5 linked regions of the Mus musculus genome follow. The protein of the gene in region 3 interacts with the protein of the main gene of each other region in a pairwise test. Links are inferred from orthologs where the notes say so. Each region holds a gene or a part of one and is shown on either strand. Other genes may lie near its edges.

Evidence for each region.
Region 1: the proteins of Tnik (region 3) and Actg1 interact in a two-hybrid assay, tested with the Homo sapiens proteins (2 studies listed by BioGRID and IntAct). The link is inferred for Mus musculus from reciprocal best matches to the Homo sapiens genes TNIK and ACTG1.
Region 2: the proteins of Tnik (region 3) and Nefm interact in a two-hybrid assay, tested with the Homo sapiens proteins (2 studies listed by BioGRID and IntAct). The link is inferred for Mus musculus from reciprocal best matches to the Homo sapiens genes TNIK and NEFM.
Region 4: the proteins of Tnik (region 3) and Pafah1b1 interact in a two-hybrid assay, tested with the Homo sapiens proteins (2 studies listed by BioGRID and IntAct). The link is inferred for Mus musculus from reciprocal best matches to the Homo sapiens genes TNIK and PAFAH1B1.
Region 5: the proteins of Tnik (region 3) and Hars interact in a two-hybrid assay, tested with the Homo sapiens proteins (2 studies listed by BioGRID and IntAct). The link is inferred for Mus musculus from reciprocal best matches to the Homo sapiens genes TNIK and HARS1.

What each region holds. Positions count from the first base shown.
Region 1 is NC_000077.6:120,345,073-120,350,094, reverse strand, and holds Actg1 (actin, cytoplasmic 2), read left to right. Parts: upstream 1-1,599; 5' UTR 1,600-1,670; intron 1,671-1,997; 5' UTR 1,998-2,003; coding exon 2,004-2,126; intron 2,127-2,219; coding exon 2,220-2,459; intron 2,460-2,558; exon of another isoform or gene 2,559-2,603; intron 2,604-2,681; exon of another isoform or gene 2,682-2,745; coding exon 2,746-3,184; intron 3,185-3,276; coding exon 3,277-3,458; intron 3,459-3,561; coding exon 3,562-3,705; 3' UTR 3,706-4,408; downstream 4,409-5,022. UniProt on the Homo sapiens protein: Actins are highly conserved proteins that are involved in various types of cell motility and are ubiquitously expressed in all eukaryotic cells.
Region 2 is NC_000080.6:68,121,582-68,126,673, forward strand, and holds the start of Nefm (neurofilament medium polypeptide), read right to left. Parts: upstream 3,424-5,092; 5' UTR 3,233-3,423; coding exon 2,159-3,232; intron 1,365-2,158; coding exon 1,240-1,364; intron 1-1,239. UniProt on the Homo sapiens protein: Neurofilaments usually contain three intermediate filament proteins: NEFL, NEFM, and NEFH which are involved in the maintenance of neuronal caliber.
Region 3 is NC_000069.6:28,601,681-28,606,185, reverse strand, and holds part of Tnik (traf2 and NCK-interacting protein kinase), read right to left. Parts: intron 2,011-4,505; coding exon 1,846-2,010; intron 1-1,845. UniProt on the Homo sapiens protein: Serine/threonine kinase that acts as an essential activator of the Wnt signaling pathway. Recruited to promoters of Wnt target genes and required to activate their expression. May act by phosphorylating TCF4/TCF7L2.
Region 4 is NC_000077.6:74,720,962-74,726,191, forward strand, and holds the start of Pafah1b1 (platelet-activating factor acetylhydrolase IB subunit alpha), read right to left. Parts: upstream 3,424-5,230; 5' UTR 3,038-3,423; intron 2,898-3,037; exon of another isoform or gene 2,239-2,897; intron 1-2,238. UniProt on the Homo sapiens protein: Regulatory subunit (beta subunit) of the cytosolic type I platelet-activating factor (PAF) acetylhydrolase (PAF-AH (I)), an enzyme that catalyzes the hydrolyze of the acetyl group at the sn-2 position of PAF and its analogs and participates in PAF inactivation.
Region 5 is NC_000084.6:36,779,783-36,784,820, forward strand, and holds the start of Hars (histidine--tRNA ligase, cytoplasmic), read right to left. Parts: upstream 3,424-5,038; 5' UTR 3,319-3,423; coding exon 3,229-3,318; intron 2,988-3,228; coding exon 2,898-2,987; intron 1-2,897. Other genes in the region: Hars2 (histidine--tRNA ligase, mitochondrial isoform 1 precursor), read left to right, coding at 3,611-3,712. UniProt on the Homo sapiens protein: Catalyzes the ATP-dependent ligation of histidine to the 3'-end of its cognate tRNA, via the formation of an aminoacyl-adenylate intermediate (His-AMP). Plays a role in axon guidance.

The DNA of each region.
Region 1 (5,022 bases), on a different chromosome or scaffold from region 3:
AGTTGCACCTTGGTCCCGCGGCGGGACAAGGCGCCCCCGCCGGGGGAACCCGGCCTTACATGGCCGTTCCGTGCTCGCAGCGCCTTCTGCACACAAGCAGACAAAGGCGTCTTAAGAGAAGGCTCGGATTTGAGGGCCAGGCCCCCGGCAGTACTTCTTGGGTAGCCATGGGCGTGTCAGAGGTGTGAGTGCTCACCGAAACCTTCCACTTTCCCCACGACTCTCACCCCCACCTACAAGTGTTAGTTAGCTGTTAGCTCCTGTAGGCTCATGGTGGGGTCCTGGAGGTCCAGCCCTGCATCCCCCTCATGGGTGGTGCTCCCATTTGACAGGCACCTCTGTACAACCACAGGGCCAGCGCCCTTCTTTCTAGGCCTGATGTTGCACAAAAGGTGACTGAGTGTTGGCACGGGTTTATGGCCAGCAGGTAAGCAGGGCAGGCTGCTTGGTCCCCCTGGGTCTTGTGTTCATGTCTCAGATGGGGAGCTGACCTTGCAGGGCTGCCTGAGAGCGCCTGTGCATAGGGTGGGAGTGGCACCCCGTACCTGCTCGAATCAAGCTCTGTGCCCTGTGACCTTGGAGTCCCTCACCTCACTGCTACCCTCCGCTTCATTCCACAATGAACCATTCCAGAAGCTTACAAATAAAACCCGGTTAACTCCCGTGCCAGCTTTCTCTTCAGGCACCATCTAGGACGGCAGCGCCACGACCCTGCTAAGGGTGACAAGTTTCCAAACAGCCGGGAGAAGGGCAGCGAGGCCGGCCCGCCCCCCACGCCTGTCCGGAGGGGACTAAGGCCTAAGCATTCTGTGCCCAAAACCAGTTTGACCCGGACTTCATAATCAGTGGAGAGGAGTCTCGCCAGCTGACCCACGCGGGGGGCGGGGCTGGACCATCCTGAAAGTCGGGAGACTTCCCCTGCCTCAGTTTCCCTACAATGTGTCCCGCAAAGCCAGCATAACACAATGCCCACTCACACCACCACCACCACCTTCTTTGATGCCCAGGGACACCCAACCCCGTGACGACCCCTCCTCCAATAAAGGGACATGGCTGAAGTGGAAGAACTGGTGACCCTCTCCCACGTGACTGGGATGTGATGGCCGCTCCCCGGACCCCCGGGAATCCCTCCAGCCCGTCCCCAGCCAGGCACACACGGACCCTGTAGAGAAAGGTCCTGGGGGGTGTGCGGGGCACAGGATTCACATAGGGGCGGGGGCCACGGGACTCACCCCAGATCGGGGCGCGGCCCGCCCCGGGCTTGGCAGTTTCGGGGCGCAGCCCGGGCCCTCCCTGCTACGCGGCAGTCCCGGGGCAGGGCAGGGCCGATCGCACGCACGCCACTCGCCGAGACCCCCGCGAGCAAGAACCGGGCCTCCCGGGGTCGCGAGCGCGCGGGGGCGGCGCGGGCGGGGCCGTTGGCGGCGGCGCGGGCCAGGGGCGGGCGGGCCCGGGCCCCACGTGTCCCTGGCGGGCGGGCCAATAGGCGCCCGGCTTTTGGAAAGATCGCCATATATGGACATGTTCTGGGGCCGCGCGCGCCCCCGCCCGCGCGCGCGGCCCGCTCCCGCTTAAATAGCGGCGGGGGAGGCCGCGGTCGGTCTCACACTCCGCCGCCGGCTTACACTGCGCTTCTTGCCGCTCCTCCGTCGCCGCCGCGTCCTTCGCCGGTAAGCTGCCGCTCCCCGGGCTTGGCCCAGTGACTTCCTGTGGCCCTTTCTTCCCGCTCACCCTGCCTGCCGCACCGCTGCGGAGCGGAGCGGAGCGCAGGGCGCCTGACGGGTGGGCCTGGGTCTGCAGCCGCGGCTGGGGGCAGGGCGGGGCCCGACGCAATGCGCAGCCCCTCCTCGCCGCGGCGGAACGGGGCGCTGCCGGTAGCCGACGGTTACGCCGCCCGGGGTGGGGACTGCACTCCTCCGGGGTGGCTCGGCCCTGGCCGAGGACATTTTCTGAGTTCGGTGAGGGCTGCGCTAATTCCGGGGCTTCTTCCTGCGCAGATCGCAATGGAAGAAGAAATCGCCGCACTCGTCATTGACAATGGCTCCGGCATGTGCAAAGCCGGCTTTGCTGGCGACGACGCCCCCAGGGCCGTGTTCCCTTCCATCGTAGGGCGCCCCCGACACCAGGTTAGTTGAGAGGAGTGGCCTCCCTTGTGTTCTCTCTGGGCCCGGGTCGCGCGGTGGGTGGGGCGAGTCTGACCGCGGCCTTTTCTCTCGCAGGGCGTCATGGTGGGCATGGGCCAGAAAGACTCATACGTGGGTGACGAGGCCCAGAGCAAGAGGGGTATCCTGACCCTGAAGTACCCTATCGAACACGGCATTGTCACTAACTGGGACGACATGGAGAAGATCTGGCACCACACCTTCTACAATGAGCTGCGTGTGGCTCCTGAGGAGCACCCGGTGCTTCTGACCGAGGCCCCCCTGAACCCCAAAGCTAACAGAGAGAAGATGACGCAGGTATGCTTGAGCCGGGACCTTGCCTCCCCTTGGGCGTGACGAGTCATTTTGTGTTGTGCCTCATTTCCTGACATTCAAGCGTTTCTTTGGTGTTTCTAGGGTTCTGTTCCTCTTCTCCTGGCATTTCCTCCCTGAAGCCTCCAGGTTTCTGTTTGCGTTTCTGCTTGCGTTCTGTTCTTTTTTTCTTCACACATCACATTTGTGGCATGCAGCATGCAGAGTGTGGGTGTGGGAGGCTCAGGGCCCCTGCTACTCACTCACTCAGGTGTTCTTTGTCTTTCCACAGATAATGTTTGAAACCTTCAATACCCCAGCCATGTACGTGGCCATTCAGGCGGTGCTGTCCTTGTATGCATCTGGGCGCACCACTGGCATTGTCATGGACTCTGGTGACGGGGTCACACACACAGTGCCCATCTATGAGGGCTACGCCCTTCCCCACGCCATCTTGCGTCTGGACCTGGCTGGCCGGGACCTGACAGACTACCTCATGAAGATCCTGACTGAACGGGGCTACAGCTTTACCACCACTGCTGAGAGGGAAATTGTTCGTGACATAAAGGAGAAGCTGTGCTATGTTGCCCTGGATTTTGAGCAAGAAATGGCTACTGCTGCATCATCTTCCTCCTTGGAGAAGAGTTACGAGCTGCCCGACGGGCAGGTGATCACCATTGGCAATGAGCGGTTCCGGTGTCCGGAGGCACTCTTCCAGCCTTCCTTCCTGGGTAGGTGTCCACAACATGATTTAGGAGCCAAGGGGCTCTCAGAAGGGATGGAACACACAGAATGTAGTGGCTAAATGAGCTCTGTTCCCTAGGCATGGAGTCCTGTGGTATCCATGAGACCACTTTCAACTCCATCATGAAGTGTGATGTGGATATCCGCAAAGACCTGTATGCCAATACAGTGCTGTCTGGTGGTACCACCATGTACCCAGGCATTGCTGACAGGATGCAGAAGGAGATCACAGCCCTAGCACCTAGCACGATGAAGATTAAGGTGAGTGGCTACCACCCGGCCTGAGCTGGCCTTAGGACCTGTGGCTGGGAAGTGGGACCCACAGGAAGGGCATGAGTGCTCATTCAGTGTTTTTCCTCCACAGATCATTGCTCCCCCTGAGCGCAAGTACTCAGTCTGGATCGGTGGCTCCATTCTGGCCTCACTGTCCACCTTCCAGCAGATGTGGATCAGCAAGCAGGAGTATGATGAGTCAGGCCCCTCCATCGTCCACCGCAAATGCTTCTAGATGGACTGAGCAGGTGCCAGGCATCTGCTGCATGAGCTGATATTGAAGTATCAATTTGCCCTGGCAAATGTACACACCTCATGCTAGCCTCATGAAACTGGAATAAGCCTTTGAAAAGAAATTTGTCCTTGAAGCTTGTATCTGATATCAGCACTGGATCGTAGAACTTGTTGCTGATTTTTGACCTTGTATTCAAGTTAACTGCTCCCTTGGTATATGTTTAATACCCTGTGCATATCTTGATTTAGTCCTTAGTTCATGTGGCTCGGTCACTTGGGGGCTGGGGAGAGCACGCTGTAGATGAGAAAGCCCCAGCCTGGTGGATCTCTGTGAGCACCACTGAGTGATCTGTGCAGGGTATTAACCAACAGCAGACTTCCAGGATTTCCTGAGGCTGGCAAGGGTTCCTGAACCAGTTACCACTCCTTCTTGCCAGTCTAACAGGGTGGGAAAGTCCGAGCCTTAGGACCCAGTTTCAGTTCTGGTTTCTTCCCTCCTGACCACCATCGGTTGTTAGTTGCCTTGAGTTGGGAACGTTTGCATCGACACCTGTAAATGTATTCATTCTTTAATTTATGTAAGGTTTTTTGTACTCAATTCTTTAAGAAATGACAAATTTTGGTTTTCTACTGTTCAATGAGAACATTAGGCCCCAGCAACACGTCATTGTGTAAAGAAATAAAAGTGCTGCAGTAACTGACCATTGTTTTTCTGGTTTGGCACAGGGCTGTGGGGTAGGGTGGAGTTGGGAAATGGAAAGGTGTGTCTGGTTGCCTAGCAGCAGAAAGCCTTCCCATTGGTAAGAAAGCCTGTACCCCAGCTTAAAGCCAGCCATGCTTGGAGCAGATTGTTCACTCCCTGCCACATTCTCAAAGGGTAAGGAATTAGGCCAGACAGGCAGCCACAATGAAGGGCCTCACACAGAAGCATTGGTGAGGAGAGCAGGCAGCTCTGGTGTTATCAAGTCATGAACAAGTAAGGAATGTAGCCATGGTCAAAAGAGAAGTAACCTAGATGTCTTAACAATTGCAGCCTTTAAGAGGCCATGCAACATTATTCCTCTATACAGGAATGAAGCTTAGCCACATAGACAACCTGGTAAGACTGGTTATCCAAAGGTGGTGCTGTCAGCACAGGGTTAGGGTTTGGCTGCTCAATGGGAACAGTCTAGGGTGATGAGGCTCTGGAATTAGGGCTAGAGATGCATTTCAATAGATGTTGGAGCTGAGTGCTTGCCAGGCCCTAGGTTGAGTTCCAGGAACCACCTGAATTGAGCATGCTGGCATGCCCGTTAGCAACTCAAGTGGAGGTGACAGG
Region 2 (5,092 bases), on a different chromosome or scaffold from region 3:
AGTGCCAGACAGTCCTCTGCTGTAGTGCCTAGCCACTCCCAGTAGACAACTAACCACACCCAGTCAGTAAATGCATCTCTGCGGCAGGCATGCAGTTGCGCGGCAGGCATGCAGTTGCGCGGCAGGCATGCAGTTGCGCGGCAGGCATGCAGTTGCTGTAGGTGTAGTATGAATGTGCTAAAATGGTCTCTAGTGGCCAACCCACTTTGTCCCCCAAACGGTGTCCTCCCTCATCATTTGAATTGCCAAGATTTCTATGAGTTTTAAAAGCAAATAAAATGTTCAATTTAAAATTAAAACTATTGAGCATAAGTCAGAATGTTGATGAATTTAAATTATAGCTACATACGAATATAGGTGAAGCAAATTATAATTTGTTCAGTGACAGAATGTCTCTTGGTACAGTCGTTTGGTTCCCTTAAAAAGACAGTGCAGCTTATTCTTGCTGTAACAGCCTTACAGGAAGTGACTGCCTCCTCAAGAGCTGTATGCTTTGAGTCTGGCCAACAGAAAGACAGCATTACTCAGGAGACCTAGATAGAACCAGTTTACAGATAAAGAGATCAAACCTATATTTGCCTATATGTCTAGTTCTATATGTTTTTATACATACACGCTTGTCTAGATCTAGATATGAGGGTATCACACTTTACATATGTAGATAAATATATATTAAATTTACATTTCTATCCAGATTGAATGCATGTATATTATCCATAGACTTAAAGTAAGTGCACCTATATTCTAGTGTGCCTATATCTAGTCTCAGCCAGAGGATGGCAACAGTAAGCTGTAACAGAAAGAGAAGAGAAGCATGACCTGGTGTTTGTCCTTGGCTTTATAAAAGAGAACCATCAGATGAAATACTAAAAATGAAAACTTCATCTGCTTGTCAGACATACAGACGCTTGAAACAAAAATTTAAACCTATTGCTACGCCCCCAGCAACTCAAAAGTACTATTCTTTGGTGCATATTTGGGCTTTTTCATACAATATATTTTGGTTCCCTCCCCCAGTTCCACCCTCCTCCCCGATCTTCTCCGTAGTCACTCTTTAAAGCTGAAGTAGGTTGGTAAACCTGTATCTGTAATACTTAGGATTCTGTTCGTAACTGAGCTGGGGAGTCAGGGCTCTGAGCCTGTCTCACTAGGCCAGCTTTGGTTTAAGTGGGGAAGGCTGTTCGCAGCAGCCTCTGCAGTGCCTGTAGGGTCTGGACCAAGTCTGCAGAGATCCTGTACCTGTACGCGGCGATCTCGATGTCCAGGGCCATCTTGACGTTAAGGAGATCCTGGTATTCTCGCAAATGACGAGCCATTTCCCACTTGGTTCCCCGAAGTTCATTTTCCAACTGCTGGATGGTGTCCTGAAAGGTACAGGGAGTCTCTAGAAACTTCCTTCACAAGACACTTGCTATTCCCTGCCCCGAGCCCTTTCCTACCCACCCCCGGAATTCCCCCTTCCCCGCCAGTCCCATGAGCCTCGCAGACATCCCTCCTAGCTATCCCTCCTTCTTTTATGATAGTAAAATTCAAAACAAAGCAACAAAAATCAACCAGACAGTTCCTAGGCACAACACACACGGAGACTGGCAAGCCTAGAATGCCCCTAGAAGGGAGCACTGAGGAATCTGAGGAAGGTCCCTAGCGGACTTTGCCCCCCCCCCAATCCCCGCCCAAATTTTGGACTGAAGCCAGCTTTGAGAGCTCCGCCCATCGCGGCTGGAGGCGGGGGGGGGGGGGAGTGGAGAGTAAGGGGGTGAGGAGGAGGGGTGGAGATATGGGTGGGGGAGGGGAAGGGGAGCGAAGAAGGAGGCAGGAATACAAGAGACTATCTGTGCTCCTGCTTATTAAACGGTGTGTTTCTCAACGACCAGAATGTGCCTTTTTACTTTTACAGTAAAATCTATCGTAGGAAAGCAAGTTTTTGAAGGAGATGGGAATTTCTAAGTAGTTGCGGCAAGTGGGTGGGACAAGGAGGAGGGGCGGAGCACAGACCTTGGGCTTTGGCTAACCCGCGTCTGCGAAGCTCGTGCGCGCACTGGAATGCGGCCACCAGGGAGCGCGACCAAGAGGGCCTCTGGGCGCGCTCTCGAGTGTCGTGTCGGGGGCGCGCGGCGCTGGCGCTGGCGCAGGCCGGCCGCGCAGCCGCGGTTCCTACCTGGTAGCTGCTGAGGTCGTGGTTGTGGCGCTCCTCGATGTCGCTGAGCTGCCGCTCCAGGGACTCCTTAGTGCCTCGCACCGACTCGAGCTCGATGCTCTTGGACTGCAGCTGGCGCCGGTACTCGGCGATCTCTTCCTTGGCAGAGCGAATGGCCTCCTTGTTCTGCTCGGCCGCCTCGGTGAGCTTGGCGTAGCGGCATTTGAACCACTCTTCGGCCTGGTGCATGTTCTGGTCTGAGTGACACTCGAGCTGGGAGCGGATCTCCTTCAGCGCCGTGGAGATGTCTGTCTTCAGGTAATCTTTGCGCTCTACCGTGATGTGCGACGCCTGGATCTGAGCCAGCAGGTCGGCCACCTCCTCTTCGTGATTGCTCCGCAGGAAAGCCACCTCATCCTGCAGCGACTGCACCTTCTTGTCCAGCTCCACCTTAACCATCGACGACTCTTCGATGTCTTTGCGCAGCGCGCGAATGGCAGCCTCGGTGTCGTCCCGCAGCCGCGCCTCCTCCTCGAAGCGCTCCTTGAGCCGGTGGATGTCTTCCTCCAAGTGATCGGAGTCCAGCTGCACTTGAGCCTTCTCGTGGTTCACCATCTCGAGGGTGGCGCGCAGCTCTCGGATCTCCTGGTCGTAAGCATCACCCAGCTGGGCGTGCGAGGCCTGCTTCTGCCGCAGTGCCTGGATCTCTGCTTCGATCTCCTTGTTCTGTTGTTCCAAGTAGTGCACTTTCTCGATGTAGCCGGCGAAGCGGTCGTTCAGCCCCTGCAGCTGCTCTTTCTCGTTAGAGCGGGACAGTTTGTAGTCGCCGCCGGAGCCGCCGTTGAGCAGCGACGAGGACTGGCTGAAGTCGAGGCTGCTCTCGGCCGAGCTGAGCATAGCCGAGCTGTAGGCGAGACGCGGGGCGAGCGCGCTGCGCTTGTAGGAGGAGGACACGGTGCTGGGCGAGCCGCGGGACCAGGACTGCGAGCGGAAGCCGCTGGACGGGGAACCGCTCACGCGGCTGAAGCTGGAGCGGGTCTCGGTGACCCGCCGGTAGGCGGACGGGTTGCCCAGCGAGTCCAGCGTGTAGCTCATCTTGGAGGCCTTGGGGTGTGTGGCTGTCACAGCGTTCTGCCGGCCTCGCCGCAGCCCCTTTATAGCGGAGCAGCTGGTCCCGGGCCAGGGCCCCGCCCCGTGGAGGCGGCGGCCGAGGAGGCGGGGACTGCGGGTACCGGGCCGGGGGTGGGGGGAAGGGGGAGACAAGCCTTGCGGTGATTCAGCGGCCGCTCCACGTGGGCCCGCACCACACTGGACCCCACACTTGGGTGTCGCCGGGCCGGCCTTTTCCTAGCGTCCCCTTGAGTTCCAGACCTCTTGTCACCCGGTAGCTTGCCCTTCTCTGCTTTTTCACCAGCAGTTTGCAGTTCACAGCTTTGGCGCAAGTGCCCTTTCCCAGCGCCCTTTCTTTGTCTCGCCACTCTCGGCCCTCTGAGCAGCTCTTCTCTGGCTTCCTGACTTTCGTCTGGCCCCCTACCTCTTAGTCTCTTTCTTCCTTACTTTTGGCCGTAGGGTCCGCTGTTCTTTATCACACACACCCCTCCCACCTCTCCACGAGGCCCTTCTCCCTCTACTTTTTTTTTTTTTTCTTCATCCGGCATTTCCCTTGAAGCCCTTTCCCCTGGGACTTTTTTTCTTTGCAGCCTCGACTTTCACCCCTTAACCCCCAACTCTCTTTTTGTTCCCCCATCCATCCTTGTCTTTCTTGTCTCCCCCCCCCCCCACTCCTCGTCTTAAAGCAGCAAGAGATGAGCTGAGAGTTATGCAGAAGAAAAAAAAGAGAGAGTTTTTGAGGAATGGCCCGCCGGAAACCTCCGGAAAGGGGACAAAGAAGACAGGCCGGGGTAGTCATTTGTGTTAAAAGTGGAAAGTGGCACTCCAGTCTGCTTAACTGTTGGGGGACGACTGCAGCTTCCAGCAGGTAAGGCGCTGTGACGCCCAAGGATCCGGCAGCACCAAGGACAGCGCCCAGGCGTGCCCATGGGATTCTGCTGGGTTCGCAGCCTACCAGAGTCCAGAGGAGGGTCACTTCTGGCTCATCTCCTCCAGTGAATACTATTAAACCTGTTTGTAGGGGCTGTTTGTTTGTAGGGAACAAGCTGGAAATCCCACACTAAGACAGTGCAGAGTTGGCACAATGAACAGACTGCAGATTTTGAAATCAACTAAAAGCCATTCAACTCAGTTAAGGAAAATAGAGACTTGAAACCCAGTTTGACTTTACCAATAAGTGAGGGATGTTAGGGAAGGAGGAGACACAAGGCCTGAAATTTGAAGGTCAACTACTCACCGGGAAGGGGAAATCCGAGATGAAAAAAAAAAAAAAACCCAGGGAGATAGTGTGTATGTTAAGTTTGAAAACTGCATAGTCATCTTTCTGTCTGGGTACTACTTACGTGTACTGTTACAACCGACAGGGCAACTGAATTAGTTTTAAATTAATTGAAAGGTAACTGGACAGCCTCATCTCAGTCTTGAATAAGCCAGGTGGTCCCTCTGCCCCCATTTAAAAACGCAACCTATTTCCTTATGTTGATTTTGATGACCGATTTGGACCCACCATCCCTTAAGCATGCTTATTTAAACAAACATTCTACAGGGGTTTCCTTTGACTGTATATTTGAACTGAAAATGTCCTTCTATTTTGGATTACAGTTTGGGAAGATTCAGAGTGAAAAAGTTCAGAGTCTTGACAGAGAAAGTGAGAGATGGACTGCAGTCCTGCGGGGGTGGGGGTGGGGGTGGGGTGGGGGGTGTCACAGGAAGGAGTGGGCGTTGTGAAATGCTTACTGTGGGTCAGAATAAACCAGCGCTTGGAAGCAGAGAAGGCAGACTGTTGTACCTTTTCGGGCATATATTCTCTAACCTCTGCTTCATTATGTGACAGAGTTGTAGTCA
Region 3 (4,505 bases):
CTCTGCCTCCCCAGTACTATGATCACAAGCCTACACGGGCCATGTCTGGATTTTATGTGTGTCTTCTAGGGATCGAACTTGGGTTTTTAAATGGAAAGCACTTTATCAAATGGGCCACCTGATTTCCACAGGACTGGATGTCCCCACTAAAAACACACACCATTTCCAGGTATCAGGATGCTTCTTTGGCACTCAGGCAATGTGGTACTGTTTGGGATTTTTATCTGACCTCTTAAGAAAAAGCATCAAAGTCTAGGGTGCAAGGGATACCTCCACCTGTGCTGCATTTTGTGAATACTGAAGCCGGTCCTCTACCTCTGGGTGTATACTGCACTCATGGGAGCCCGGGTCCATCCATAGGTTTAGCTCACATGGATCATGGCTGGGAAAAAAAAAATCTAGAGTGCTTCCTGACTAAACTGCTCATTCAAGCAGTCTCGGCTTCCTATGGGTTTCATACAAGGCCCTGCCAAACCCACTTTGGTCTACAGTGCCTATTAGAATGTCACAGAGACATGCTGGAAGAATCCTCAAAGCTCTGTTCTGCTGAGTGTTTTGAATAGGCCTTGTAAAGTTCACATGGATGCAAATATCATTAAATACAATGCATAACATTAAAACAAAATGCATTGCAGTATCTAGTACAAAACCCACTCTCACTTTAGAAGATCATTCCAGACACCCCCTAAAACCCTGGAGCACCAGAGAAGGCTTTCCCAGAGAGTCTACTCTTAGTTCCTTATCATTTCAGAAGGGGCATTTCCCCACAGTGCTTTCCTTAACAAGGGAAGGGTTCATTATAAGATCAAAGTAGGAGGTTTTTAAAAGAAGAGAAGCCCTTGTAAAACTCCCCTTTTGGAGCGTCTATAAAAGAGAAGTATATGCAGATAAAAACAACCAGAGGAAGGTATGTTGAGCTCATTGGTGCTGAAAAATCTTGCATTTTGTTCATTACCACTAACTTAAAATGCAAGAAAGCCTTGATTTTTATCATTATTCCTTTAACCTTTAATTCAAACAGCAGTTCATATTTCAAAGGTGACCTCCAAATGCACTGGAGAAGCCTTACCACAGCTGGGTGCCAGGAAGAAATGTAAGATATTTGGGTGAGAAAGGTTGGATTACTTTTTTTTCCCCTCATGGAATTTCCATCTTCTATTTCACTTTGAATTTCATCTTTGAAGAACATACCAGAAAGCTCCTTTCTTAATGACAAAATAATCTCTCCCCACCAAACATCTTCATGCAGTGCTTCTCAGTCCCTAAAGGGCACCAGAACCAACCTGGAAGGCTTTTTAAAGACTACCGGAGCCAACCCTGCATCTCTGGTCAGTAAGTCTGAAGCAGACCCAGGAATATGCATTTTTACCAAGTTCATCGGATGTTGCTGGCTGCCAGGTGAGCATGCCAGGAGAAATGCTGGCTTAGAAGGCACACATTGATTCCACCAATCCCATTTCATTTCTCCAGTTCAGATTTCTACCCATATTTCAAGGAAGGGAAGAATACATGTATATTCTACCTCAAAGGTCCGTATATGAATTTTAATTCTTCTGATTGTAACTACAAGAATGGCTGTTCCCACCCTGTACTCTTCAACACTTGCAAGGGTCTCCACAGGAGCCACTTTACTGAGAGTGACTTTGAAGTCGACTCAAAGTCATTAGCTCCATGCTTCCTGTCTGTATTCTGGAGCCTCACAATGCAGAGAGGGTTCTGTTCCCATGGACTTTATACTAAGGGTCTTTGCTTCAACACTTCTCTGCCATGCTGGAATACTGTAGGCTTTTTAGTAAGCTTTCCTGGGCACAAGTGTCCACTGGAACAGAAAAGAGGTTATTATACCTGGGGGTCAACAGGTCTGAGCATTGGGGGTGTCCTTGCAGGCTGAACCCCACTAATGCTGAAGGACTCTGATCTTGGGGGCAGGTTGGGGTCCGAGATCCTGTTGGCAACCTTGTGAGGCATGGCAGGTGAACTCTGTCGGTTGAGTCTTGAGCGTTCTTCTACCTAGAAAGTCAAAGGAAAAGAAAATCTCAATGGTTAGAAGTCAGTGCTCTGTCCTGTAAGGCTTTTCTATAGCAACCCACAAAGCCATTCTTACGCCCCTCTGATGAATTCAAAGAGCCCAAATGTGTCATTTCTGTTTCATAGCAAGATCGTTTTCTCTCCTTTCTCTTCTTCTCTTTTCTTTTCTCCTTCTTATGGAAGTATTTCCAGCAAGTATGCAGGGCCCTTGAGCTCTTGACCTTACAAGACCCATTAGCTTGTGCTATGTCAGGTAACTGGGCATTCTTGGCCTGCTAAGAGCTTGTCTTGCATCCCTTGAGCTAATATCCTGCTGATTAGTCACAAAGCCATAGGATCAGTCAGGGAGATGGTGTGCCCGCCAGATAATCAAAGGGGACTATAGTAGGCACTGAGACAGCTTAGGGGGAAAATAGAAACTTGCTTTGGGTTGACTCATAAGACAGGGGGACAAGAGCCACACAAGGACTGACTGGCGAGGGCGAAGTGGCACACAAGATCTCTACTCTTCTTTGCAGGCTGCTGATAGGCACGTGGGCGTCCTGGATGCTGCTTAATGACATGGCTGTCTTACGCAGACTTCCTGTATCATTTTCTTTTTCTCTTTAGGGCCCTTTCCTTTCAATTGTCTCTCCCTGCTACCCAAAATACACTGCTCCTCCCCTAGCTTTCCATTCCCAGCATGGACTCTTACCCTACACCCTCCAACTCTCCTCCTGCTCCTTCCTGCAATCTGGACCTTCCTGTTCCCCTCGCCCCCACCTTCTCTCCTTTCTACCCATTGTCATGTCTTATTCTCCAGTGTCTCAGAGAGCTAGTGCTTCTTTATAAACAGATTCTCTGTCACTACCAGTCAGTCCATGTTTATAGGAGCAAATAGACTGTTCCCAAGGATGACCGTAAAGAGAAAGTTAAATGAACATGATGGGCATCAAAAAGCAAGGTGGAAGTCATTAGTTTTTTTTTTTTCTCTTTTAATTTTTTTTTCTTTCCATTTTTTATTAGGTATTTAGCTCATTTACATTTCCAATGCTATACCAAAAGTCCCCCATACCCACCCACCCCCACTCCCCTACCTGCCCACTCCCCCTTTTTGGCCCTGGCGTTCCCCTGTTCTGGGGCATATAAAGTTTGTGTGTCCAATGGGCCTCTCTTTCCAGTGATGGCCGACTAGGCCATCTTTTGATACATATGCAGCTAGAGTCAAGAGCTCCGGGGTACTGGTTAGTTCATAATGTTGATCCACCTATAGGGTTGCAGATCCCTTTAGCTCCTTGGGTACTTTCTCTAGCTCCTCCATTGGGAGCCCTGTAATCCATCCATTAGCTGACTGTGGGCATCCACTTCTGTGTTTGCTAGGCCCCGGCATAGTCTCACAAGAGACAGCTACATCTGGGTCCTTTCGATAAAATCTTGCTAGTGTATGCAATGGTGTCAGCGTTTGGATGCTGATTATGGGGTGGATCCCTGGATAAGGCAGTCTCTACATGGTCCATCCTTTCATCTCAGCTCCAAACTTTGTCTCTGTAACTCCTTCCAAGGGTGTTTTGTTCCCACTTCTAAGGAGGGGCATAGTGTCCACACTTCAGTCTTCATTTTTCTTGAGTTTCATGTGTTTAGGAAATTGTATCTTATATCTTGGGTATCCTAGGTTTTGGGCTAATATCCACTTATCAGTGAGTACATATTGTGTGAGTTCCTTTGTGAATGTGTTACCTCACTCAGGATGATGCCCTCCAGGTCCATCCATTTGGCTAGGAATTTCATAAATTCATTCTTTTTAATAGCTGAGTAGTACTCCATTGTGTAGATGTACCACATTTTCTGTATCCATTCCTCTGTTGAGGGGCATCTGGTTTCTTTCCAGCTTCTGGCTATTATAAATAAGGCTGCTATGAACATAGTGGAGCATGTGTGAAAGACTTTTGTTCTAGGTTTATCTTACCCTGTCCTGTATTTCTTAAGGGTCAGTGTAATGGTTGTGCATCTCAAAACGGCAAGACAATACCACACATTACTCTCCTCACCCTGACAACTCATCTGAGTGAGCTCTTAACTCATTTCCGTTGACCCAATATTCAGGTCTGTTTGCATATGTTTACACACCAGCTAAGGGTTTTTAATTTTCTCTTTGCTGCCTGATTTCAAATAAAATTCAAAAGTTCTATTACTTCTTATCTTTCCTACCCTCCTTTGAATCTTTCTAGAGAGAAGTCCAATTTCCTACTCAGAGTAAGTCTGTTTTAACCTTAAACATTTGAACATGCTACATTAAGCCACAGATAAAAAGTGGTCTGCCTCTATGATGTGTAATATGAACATCTTTTTCTTCACTAAGGCTTTGTAGGGCATGTCCAATTGGCCTCCACTTGACTTTGGCTTTGAAATTCCATGTCTTAAATGTTTCCTACATATCAAATCATACTAACCACAGAAGGCCACTGATAGAAAGTAGAAAGTGTTCACTCTGTTTATGA
Region 4 (5,230 bases), on a different chromosome or scaffold from region 3:
GACTTGATTGAGTCCAATCCACAGGACCTACATGGTGACAGGAAAGCTGTAATCCTTGTAAGTTGATGCACAAACACATAAAAATGAACAAGTGAAAAAAAAAAAAAAAAGAAATTCAAACAGACTTCATTAAACTTTTAAAAATATAGAATTGTGGGCCGGGCGCACGCCTTTAGTCCCAGCACTTGGAGGGGCAGAGGCAGGCGGATTTCTGAGTTCCAGGCCAGTCTGGTCTACAAAGTGAGTTCCAGGACAGCCAGGGATACACAGAGAAACCCTGCCTCCAAAAAAAAAAAAAAAAAATTGTGATTTTTAAAATTGATTCCATCAAATTAAGTAAGATTCAGAGAAAGTACCAGGAATGAAAGCACATTTGTACTCTCCATCAAATTATCAGTAAGCTCCTGGGTGGCCGTGGGCTTGGGGTGGAGGCTCACCACTCTTAACTAGGAAGAGTAGGGCTAAAGATATTTGAGACACAATATAGTAATGTTCTCATCCATCACCATAATAGCCTTTCTACTTCATAATGGACATGGAAAAATAGCAAAAAATGTAAATACAAAGTTACAACACTCATAAGGTTCATTAGAATTACATTGTCATATTTACAATTCTTTACAAGAAACTAAAGTGAGCTATGCTCTTTATCACAGAAAAGGTCCTATGCAAGAAGCAACACAAGAGAAAAGGTCTATTTAAAGAGCTCTTAATACAAAATAACCACTGTCTATTTTCTCATCTTTGATGTTCATCAAGAGAAAAAAAAAAAACTATTTTAGTGAAAACTAGTATTCTTAACTAGATTTTTTTTTTCACTATACCATGCTTTTTGTAGCCAAATATCCCTAGCATTCATTAATTTAACACCCATTTGGCTAGAATAATTAAAAAAAAAAAACTAGCCAGAGCATATGTGGAGTTTTTTTAATACATGCACACACATGGACAGTAAGTACTTGTTTCAGAGCAAGGATACTGCCTTTATTCCAATTACTCAATGCCCTTCTTGAAGAAGAAAAAAAAAAGGTAGAAAAACTGAGATTCTAAGATCCACTATAGAGAAATGCCTTAATTGTCCCTACAATTAATACTGAATAACCTTACAATCATTAAGGATGAGAAAAAAACCCAGTGAAAGGGCAACTGAGCATTTCACAGCTTTGCTGGCGCACCCTTACTCCACCCAGTCCTCTCGGCTCAATGGCTGCTTATAGCAGCCACAAATATTAGCCCATTTTTAAGGGGGTGGGAGGATGTACCAAAACAGGGTATGCTCTGTCAAAACCAACATATGCACAAATATTTTGCGAAAAAACTGGTTTCCTTTCTGACTCTTAAAATTATATATACCAGCAGCTTTAAATATATTACAGAAAATCCTTCCCTCTGAAATCAAACAATGATCTTTTAAATAGACCGTGAAGGAGTAAATTACTCTAAATTCATATTCTGTGTTAATAAAAAAACACAATTTGTAACTGCCAATTATTTGCACAACTATGTCCTGAAAGACACATATTAGAAATAAAAGCTTGCTAAAGCCTTAATACCAAATCAAATTTTAAAGTTAAAGCTTTTAATGTAAATTCAGCATAGTATTACTAGCATATCCAACTAAGAATATTCCTAATTAAGGGATTGAATCCTGCAGCAATCAAGCTCTACTGCAGGGGGAAACACAGCAAACAACTGCTGTGGCAAAATGAAGAGAGAAGACAATATTACTGGCATGAGGCCCAAACAAAGTCTCCACCATCCCACCCCCAGAAAAGAAATTTCACACAAAACAAGCCAACCCAACAAAAAGAGAATTGCTAAAATGACCTTTATGTTACTGGATCTTTTAAAGGTTGTGAATCTTTAGGAGGGTGTGTTTGAAATTAAAGGTAAGAAAAGCAGTAATTTTATTTTCTCCCAATTGTCTCTTAAAGGGGGGGGGGGGTGAGGAGGAGGTATCCTTGACATGACATCGCCCATTGAGAATGAGACCACAAATCTGGTACTCTTCAAAGGCACAATTTCTTAGCCAAAAATACTGATAGGAATTACACCCAAACCCAACCTCAACAGAAAATTTCCTGCGCTCCTCCCAAGGAGTTTCTTGCTAAGTCACTGGAAAAAGCAGGCAGGATAACAAATAAAGCCAGGCACCTTGCTTTCTCCTATCTCAAGACTGAAATTCTTTCCTCTTGGGAGACGAAATCAGCCCACCGTCTCAAAAAAACATTTTCTCACCTGGGAGGCTAGAGAGGGTAAATAGTCACAGCGTTTCCTAATGGAGTGGAGAGATGGGATGAAGGGAATGATCGAGAACCTGGGAGCTCAGTGTTAGCAACGTCAAAAGACAACTCCCGTGCGAGGAGTCAGTAGCAAAAAGGAAAATCCTGCCCGATTCGGTGGGTGGATGCTGCAGATCTTTACTGAATGCAGAGGCTGGACCACCACCGCACCGGGGGGCCGAGGGCCTGAGCGGCGGGCCATCCTCCCCGGGTCCACCCTCAACCTAAGGACAAGCGGAGAACCCGACGCCTGGAAGGCCTGGTAGCTGCTGGAGCCCCGGCGGCGAGTCGCCAGCCAAGGAGGGGTGGGGACTGCGGGTTCGCTTCCGCGGCCCAGGAGGGCTGAGCCCTTTCCCCAAGATCAGAGAGCGACCTGCTATCCACGCCCTTCCCACCCAAGAATACTTTTCTTGCTAAGTCACGGCGGCAGGAGGGCGATGCCGCCCGAGAGGCCACGGCTTGAACCCTCAGCAGCCTGAGTAGCCCACTGCCAGGGTCGGAGGAACCGGAGCCAGGGCAGCGCCCTCCCAGGCCAGGGCCCCCTCCTCGGTGCCTCTCACTCAACGGCCGTCGCGGCCGCCATTTTGAGAGCGAGGAGAGGAGAAGAAGAAGGAGGAGGCAGCGGCGGCAGGGGGAGGGGAGAATGGGAGGGAGGGGACCGGCGCAGCCACATCGTCAGGCCGCCGGCCCGGCCCGCAGCCACCCGAGCGCGATGGAAGAGACAGAGGGGAGGGCGCAGAGCGTCGCCGCCTTACCGGAGCGCTGCACCACCGCCTCCGCAGGGCCTCTTCCGTCCTTCACTCCCATCCACCAGCGGGGGAGGGGGAGGGAGAGGGAAGGGAGGAAGGAGGGAGGGAGGGAGGGAGGGGGAGGATGGCGCGCTGGGCCCGGTCCCGGGGAGGGGGAGGGGAGGGCCGCGGGCGGGCTCCTCGGCCGTTCCGGGGCTCGAGCCCTAGCCCAGCGTTCGCTCGTCCTCTCGCTCGCGCCTGAGCGCTCCCCTCCGGGTCCTCCTCGCTCCCTGGACTCTCGGCTCGCTGCTCCTTCGCTCCCTCACTCGCTATCTCGGCCGCCGGACTCCGCCGCCGCCCCGCCGCTCCAGCTCCGTCTGTCACAGGAGCTGCCCCAACGCCCTGACGTCACCGCGCCGCCGCCGCCCCAGACCCGCCAGGAAGAGGGAGGGGAGCGGAGGGCCCGCGGCGCATGCGCGGGCCGGGCCTGGGCCTGGGCCTGGGCCTGGGCCGCGCGCCCTTCCGCAGGGTGAGCTGGCGGCTGTACCCGAGCCGACCGGCGAGCTTGCGTCCCGTCCGCGGCTTTTCTCGCTTCTGCCCCCTGATCCCTTGGGAAGCTTCCCTTTTGCTCTAAACTGCCTGACGGCTGGCGTCCATCACGACTCTTGCTCTGCCTCAGCGGTCACTGCGCTGTCCCGGCGGACCGCGGGTACCCGGTGCACTGGCATTTCGGCCCCTGCTGGCTAGAGCAGGAGCCAAGCCAGGATGCTTCCTTTCTGCCTTAGCCTGTGGGATTATTCCCCATCCCCCACCTACCCACCCACCCAAAAGGACCAAAGTAAATTGGTGGGCTTGGGCAGAAGAGCTGTTGAGGTTAAAAGGCAGATGGATTGCCTTGTGTTCCTTTCTGGTACAGATTTTTAATCGGAAGGAATCGCCTGTAGATGTGATTCAGCTATTCTTTTCCTTAGTCACATGTATTCATCAGAGATTCTGGAAACTGAAATCCACAGAAAGACCTGGAACTTTATTCTCTACAAGACATGTCTGTGTTTTATTATATTATGAATTGTATATTGATGACAAATCTGGGGGGATTTGATGTCAATTTATTCCACAAAGAGACACTTGATTTTTGAAAGGGAAGGTTTGGGGCTCTGAATTATTCAATATAGGATATTTAAGTATTGAATGAGATTACTTCATTATCCACTTGTGTTTTCCAGCACTGAGGCTTAACTGATTCTATTGCGTCCCTCGATGAAGGTAAATACTGTAAAAATCACTTGGGAAGCTGCAGAGTTAATGTCTCCAGTATGAATCCTGGTGTCACCACTGGGAATGTGACCTTGACTAAATTATCATATCTCTTTTTGGCCTCAGTATCAGTATAAAATAAACCCAGTAGCCAAACAAAGTGGCACATGGCACGTAGCCCAAGCTACTCAGGAGGCAGGAGACCAGCAAGAGCCCAGAAGTTCTCTGCAAGCCTCAGGAGCATCCTTTTTATAAAAAACAAAAAACAATGATGATAGTAATAAACAAGCTAGGGTGACTCACATCTGTAATGCTAACACTGAGGAGACGGAGGCAGGAGACTTGCCACGAGTTTGAAGCCAGCATGGTGTATATAGTAAGACCCTATCTTAAAATAATGATTTAAAGCTGGACATGGTGTTTTAATATCAGCACTTTGGAGGCAGAGACAGGTGGATCTTTCCAAGTTCAAGAGCCTTCTCTACCCAGTGAATTCCAGGACAGACAACTACATAGAGAAACCCTGTCTCCAAGAATAAATAATAATGGAGCAAACCTTGGGTGGAAGGAAGCACACATCCCTTATTCCAGCATGGAATGGCTGAAGAATGAGGATCACAAGTTTAAGGGCTACCTGGAAAACTCAAATGTTTTTAAATTTATCACTTTTAAAAGGGTGAAGAGACAGCTCAGTAGGAGAGTACTTGCTGAGAGAAAGAAAAGAAAACATTATAGAATTGACATAGCTGTGAGGCTTTGTGAGATTAGATGTTGCATGGGTTAAGGCCTGAGGTTTGATGTGTAACTCATGTAACCATTACTATCTAGTACCAAAGCCAGGCTCTTTGTATTGGGATGGGCTATCTTTATCCCTAGAAATTTTTTTAAAAAACATAAACCAATGACCTTAAGGGATTAGTTCTTTTTTTTTTTTTCTTCATCAACACAAGAAACTAAATCAAA
Region 5 (5,038 bases), on a different chromosome or scaffold from region 3:
ATTGGAGTTAGAAATGCTTGTGAGCCTCCAGCGAGTGCTCTTAACCACTGAGCCACTCTCCCCCAGTAAAAATATTCTTAAGTACCATTTTTTATTTTGAAAGATTTCTCTTCTTTTATGTGTATGGGTGTTTTACTACATGTATGGCTATGCACTGTGTGTGTGCCTGGTGCTCACAGAGGTCAGAAGAGGATGTTGGAGCCGCTGGAACTGGAGTTACCATAGCTGGTGAGCCACTATGTGAATACAGGGGATTGAACCTGAGTGCTGTGGGGGAGCAACAAGTGCTCTATCTCTGAGCCATTTCTCCAGTCCCATTTGTTTTAATGGTGAGTGCAAAGAGTGTGAATCACAGTTGGTTTTGGTTCTCTGTATCTGCAGGTTCAATATCCATAGGTTCAATAGACTGTGCACTGAAAATACTTAAGGTTAAAAGAAAATTCTGCCAATACTAAACATATGGATTTTTTTCCATGTCACTATCTTTGAGCAATAACTACTTATACTAGATATTAGTAACCTAGAGATGACTTAATCATGGAGGATGTGTATAGGATACGTGCAAATGCTATACCATTTCCCATAAGGAAAGTGAATAGCTGTGGAATCCCTTAATACTATCTAAGATCAAGCCGTGTTCAACTTCCCCCAACTACCTCAGTAATAACTTCTCATGATTACCTTATTTGATCAGACTCTTACCGTCTTATTTTTAGATGATATATACATTTAATCAGCAACAGCTCTTTTTCTTCCTTTTTGTTCTTCTTTTGTGGTGTCTCATTTGGAACTCTAGGTCTTCTAATACTGAGCCACACTCTTAATCCCCCACTCCCACCTCTATCACATTATTTATTTGTTGAAGAAACTAAATATTTGTCCCAAAAAGTTTATTACATTCTGGATCCAGTCACCAATACCACCGATGAGTCATTAACCTGTTCTCCACTCCGTGTTTCTCCACCTTAGTCTAAAGGCCTAATTACATTCAAATTCCCCTGATGAGAATTCATAGGTGGTGCTGTGTAATTTTTATTGCATCATATCTGCAGGGACATAATATCTGCTGCTTCTGCTTTAGTGACATTAAGACTGGTCATTGGGTTGAGGTGTGGAGGGACTGTTCGATTAAAAATTCCCTATCTTCTCTCCATTCAATACTCTGAGCAAATTATTGATCATTTCTTTAATGGCATGTGTGCAGATGCCCTTGGAGGCCAGCTGGAATTACAGGCAGGTGTGGGCTGCTGTATGTGGGTGCTCAACCACTCAGCTCTTCTAGAAGAACAGCGAGCACCCTTAATTCTGAGCAATCTCTCCAGCCCCCATTTCTTTGAGATTTTAAACTTCTCTTGAGTCTCTGAAAAAGAACTGTGAGAGATGGGTGTGGTAGTACATGCCTGTAATTCTAGCACCTGTTAGGATCAAAATTTCAAAGCCAGTCTCTGATATATATATGTAATATATACACACACATACATACATACATATATACAGTCTCTGATTGATATATATGTATGTATGTATGTATAAAAAGTCTGAGGCTGGTCAGGGCTTGTATTTTTTGTTTTTGCTTTGTTTTTTTATTTTTTTATTTTTTGAGACAGGGTTTCTCTGTATAGCCCTGGCTGTCCTGGAACTCATTCTGTAGACCAGGCTGGCCTCGAACTCAGAAATTCGCCTGCCTCTGCCTCCCGAGTGCTGGGATCGAAGGTGTGCGCCACCACTGCCTAGCAAATATATGTTTATTTCCAGTCTTACATTCTGGTAAATAAACTGAATTAACTACTAAATAATACTGCATTACTCATTATTAATTAACGTAGTTAGTAAGAAATTACATTAAATAACATGAATAAACTACTAAATATTGTTGCAGAGGGCAGGAGAGATGGCTCAGGGATTAAGAGCTCTTGGCACTCTTCCAGAGACGTTAATTTGTTCAATTTCCAGCACCTTGGCTTACAACTGCCTGTAAGTCCAGCTCCAGGGAATCTGACATTCTCTTGTGGCCTCTGCATGTACTCATACTCACTTGCAGAGATCCGCACACACATACAGCAAAGTGAAACTTCAAAGCCAGTACATTAACAGAACTATGTATGACATGCCAAGGGAACCCAGTAAAGGTGCAGAGGTCTGTTTATAGAAGTTACAGAATAGCATCTGAATCGAAGTCCTGAGGCTGAGTTAAGCATCTCCAACTTTACCTGGTTCTATTTGTGCGGCTTCTTCTAGTTCCTAGGAAGTATCACAGTTCTTGTCTGCTTCAGAGTTTCTGATCTCTGCCGAGCTTATGATTCTAACAGCCTTTCCCTGGCTGTCTCTAACCTGCTTGAGAGGTCCATCATGTCACTTCCTCAGTTTGGCTCTTTATACACTGTGCGCACAAGTGTGTATCGGTGTATGGTTATAGGACTGTGTGGTCGCAGGTGCCTATGGAGGCCAGTTACAGACAGTTGTGAACCACCTGATGTAGGTGCAGGGAATCTAACTTGGATCCTCTGCATGCTCTTAACTGCTGAGCCATCTCTCCAGCCCTAAATTTCTTCACATCACCACTCATATTTTGTAACAGCATATTCCTGGGTGGGATTATTTGCCCTGAATCTTAGTGGAATGCAAGCCTCGAAACGGCAGGCATCCAGTATGGTGTATTCAGTGCACAATGACACCCACATAGACTTACTCAATAACTACACAATGAATGAAAGGAGTAGCAGTTAGCAGGCTGTCTCCCCTGATCAGCCTCGTTTCTGTCATCACTGCCATCGCCGAATGACTCAGGTTGAGTTCAAACCAGCCCAGTGCCTACCCCACCAACTACTGGCTCCTCTGCAATATTTCTGATTGTGGATCAGGGCCTCTCTCTGAGGCCTCATACAGGAATAGTTTACCTTGGGGGTTTTGAGCACAAACTTCTGTTTGCCTTCATCCTGGCCCAGCTGTGCCTTCAGTTTTAGGAGTTTCGTCACCTCCTCCTCGATCTGTGGAGGGAAAAACGCCGCTGGACTGACCATTCATCACTCCCCTCCCTCCCGTCCCCTCGATCCTCCTCTCTCTTAGGCCTCGCTTCTCTCGGGACCCACCCTAGCTATCTCCTCACTCAGCCCCGTTCACTCTACCAGCCTGGTTCCTTCATCCACATGTCTGTCCTCCAGCCAGATCACCTTCTATGCTCCTCCGGTTTTGTCCCGACCCCTCTCCTTCCATCCGAGTCGCACCTACCTGCTCAGCGGACGCTTTCTGCTCCTTAAGGCCCCTCACATGCGCTCCCTGGAGTCGTACCAGCTCCTCCAGAGCAGCACGATCTGCCATCCTGCCTGCCAGCAGGAACTGACGGCTGTCTAAAACCCGCCTTGGTGGACTCAGCCTAGGTTCGGATGACTTCCGGTTACCGAGTCCCCGCTTTCGTGCCTAGAGCGTGTCTGGCGAAGGTGGAGGGAACACTTCCGGGTCAGGGAGCGTGAGATCCTCGGTGTTCAATCCCACCATCCGAACTAACTCCGATCTCAGGTGTTTCCAGCTCTCGGTAGCTTTCCAGAAATCGGACTGGCCTCGTTCCCAGTCCCTTGACTTCAGTTCCAGAAAGCCGGCGTCCTGCAGCACAATGCCCCACCTGGGGCCACTGCGTCGCAGGGCCTGGGCTGCGCTGCTCGGCCAGCTCCTGCGACCTCCCAGCACTGTGTGCACCCGCGGCTGTCATAGCCAGGTGAGCCGCCCTGAGCCGGCTCCTTCCCGGTGGAGCCTCCTAGCCTGAAAGTCTAGACTCGTGGTTTCTATTGTATTATTACAATTGGTTTTTATTTTTTTATTTTCTTTTATGAGTATGGGTATTTTGCCTGCATGCATGTGTGCTCTGTGTATACGCCCGCCTAGGCCAGAAGTGGGCGTTGGAGCCCCTGATCCTGGAGTTATAGCCGGTAGTGAGCCACCTTGCGGATACTGGGAGTGGAACCCAGGTCCTCTAAAAGAGCCATCACTCCAGTCCTGCAATTAGTTTTTTTATTGATTAGCCACTTTGTACTTGCACTGCCCTAAGCGTTTATTATTGAGGAAATCTCAGAAGTTGAGAGTTTTATCTCCATTTTACAGTTGAGTGAGCGGAGATCATAGGGTTAAATGACCTCTATGGATATATAGCAACTGAGTTATATGAGGTTTCTTCTCAATCTTGAACATATTAGAATTTGGAAAATATCGATACAGCTATTCCCCCAAACTATAAATGAACTGAGTTTATGCCCATCAGGTGAATTTACCGTAACATGAAGCTCAGAGAAACATTTTCAGACATAGTTGGATTTTGGAATTAGAATCAGGGTTTGGGGACTTGAACTCAGGTTTCTTTTCGGGGAGAGAGACTCTCCAAAGTATGTAATCATCACTATTTGTATTTCTGGAAGGACCTGTGGGTTTTTAGGCCTGATTCCTTTTTATAGAAGAGTTTTCTCTATTAATTGGTGTGGGTGGGTGTTGGTGCGCTACACAGCATTTCTGGTCTTTGCTTTGCCTGTATAGTCTGGGGATTGAGCTTAGGTGGTCCTGATAAGTGGCCAGCAGCTGTGCTCACAAGCGTCTCCCCAGCACTAAGTCAGTGGTTGTTTTACCTGTCTTCAGACAGTGGATGCTTTGTGTCACCATGCGCAACATTGTCACTCATAGCATTTTACTGTTTCTGTTGTTCAAACAGGAAAGTTATTCCTATCATTCCATAGGTGTGTGTGTGTAAATTGTGGGAACTGAATTTCTCCTTTGACTACGTGAATGGGTCTCAGGGATCTAACTCAGGTGGTCAGACTTGGTGGATATCCACTGAGCTATCTTGCTGGCCCAGGTTTGTTCTTTTTTCTTTGGCGGGTTTCTGTCTTTATGCTCCACTTACCCTTTCTCCAGGTCTGATTCATTCATCCCCTCCCTCCTACTTTCTTTCTTTCTTTCTTTCTTTCTTTCTTTCTTTGGTCTCACTGTGTAGCCTTGGCTGGCCTGGGGCTCTCTATGTAGCCGCTGGTCTTAAATTTGTAGTGATCCGCCTGCC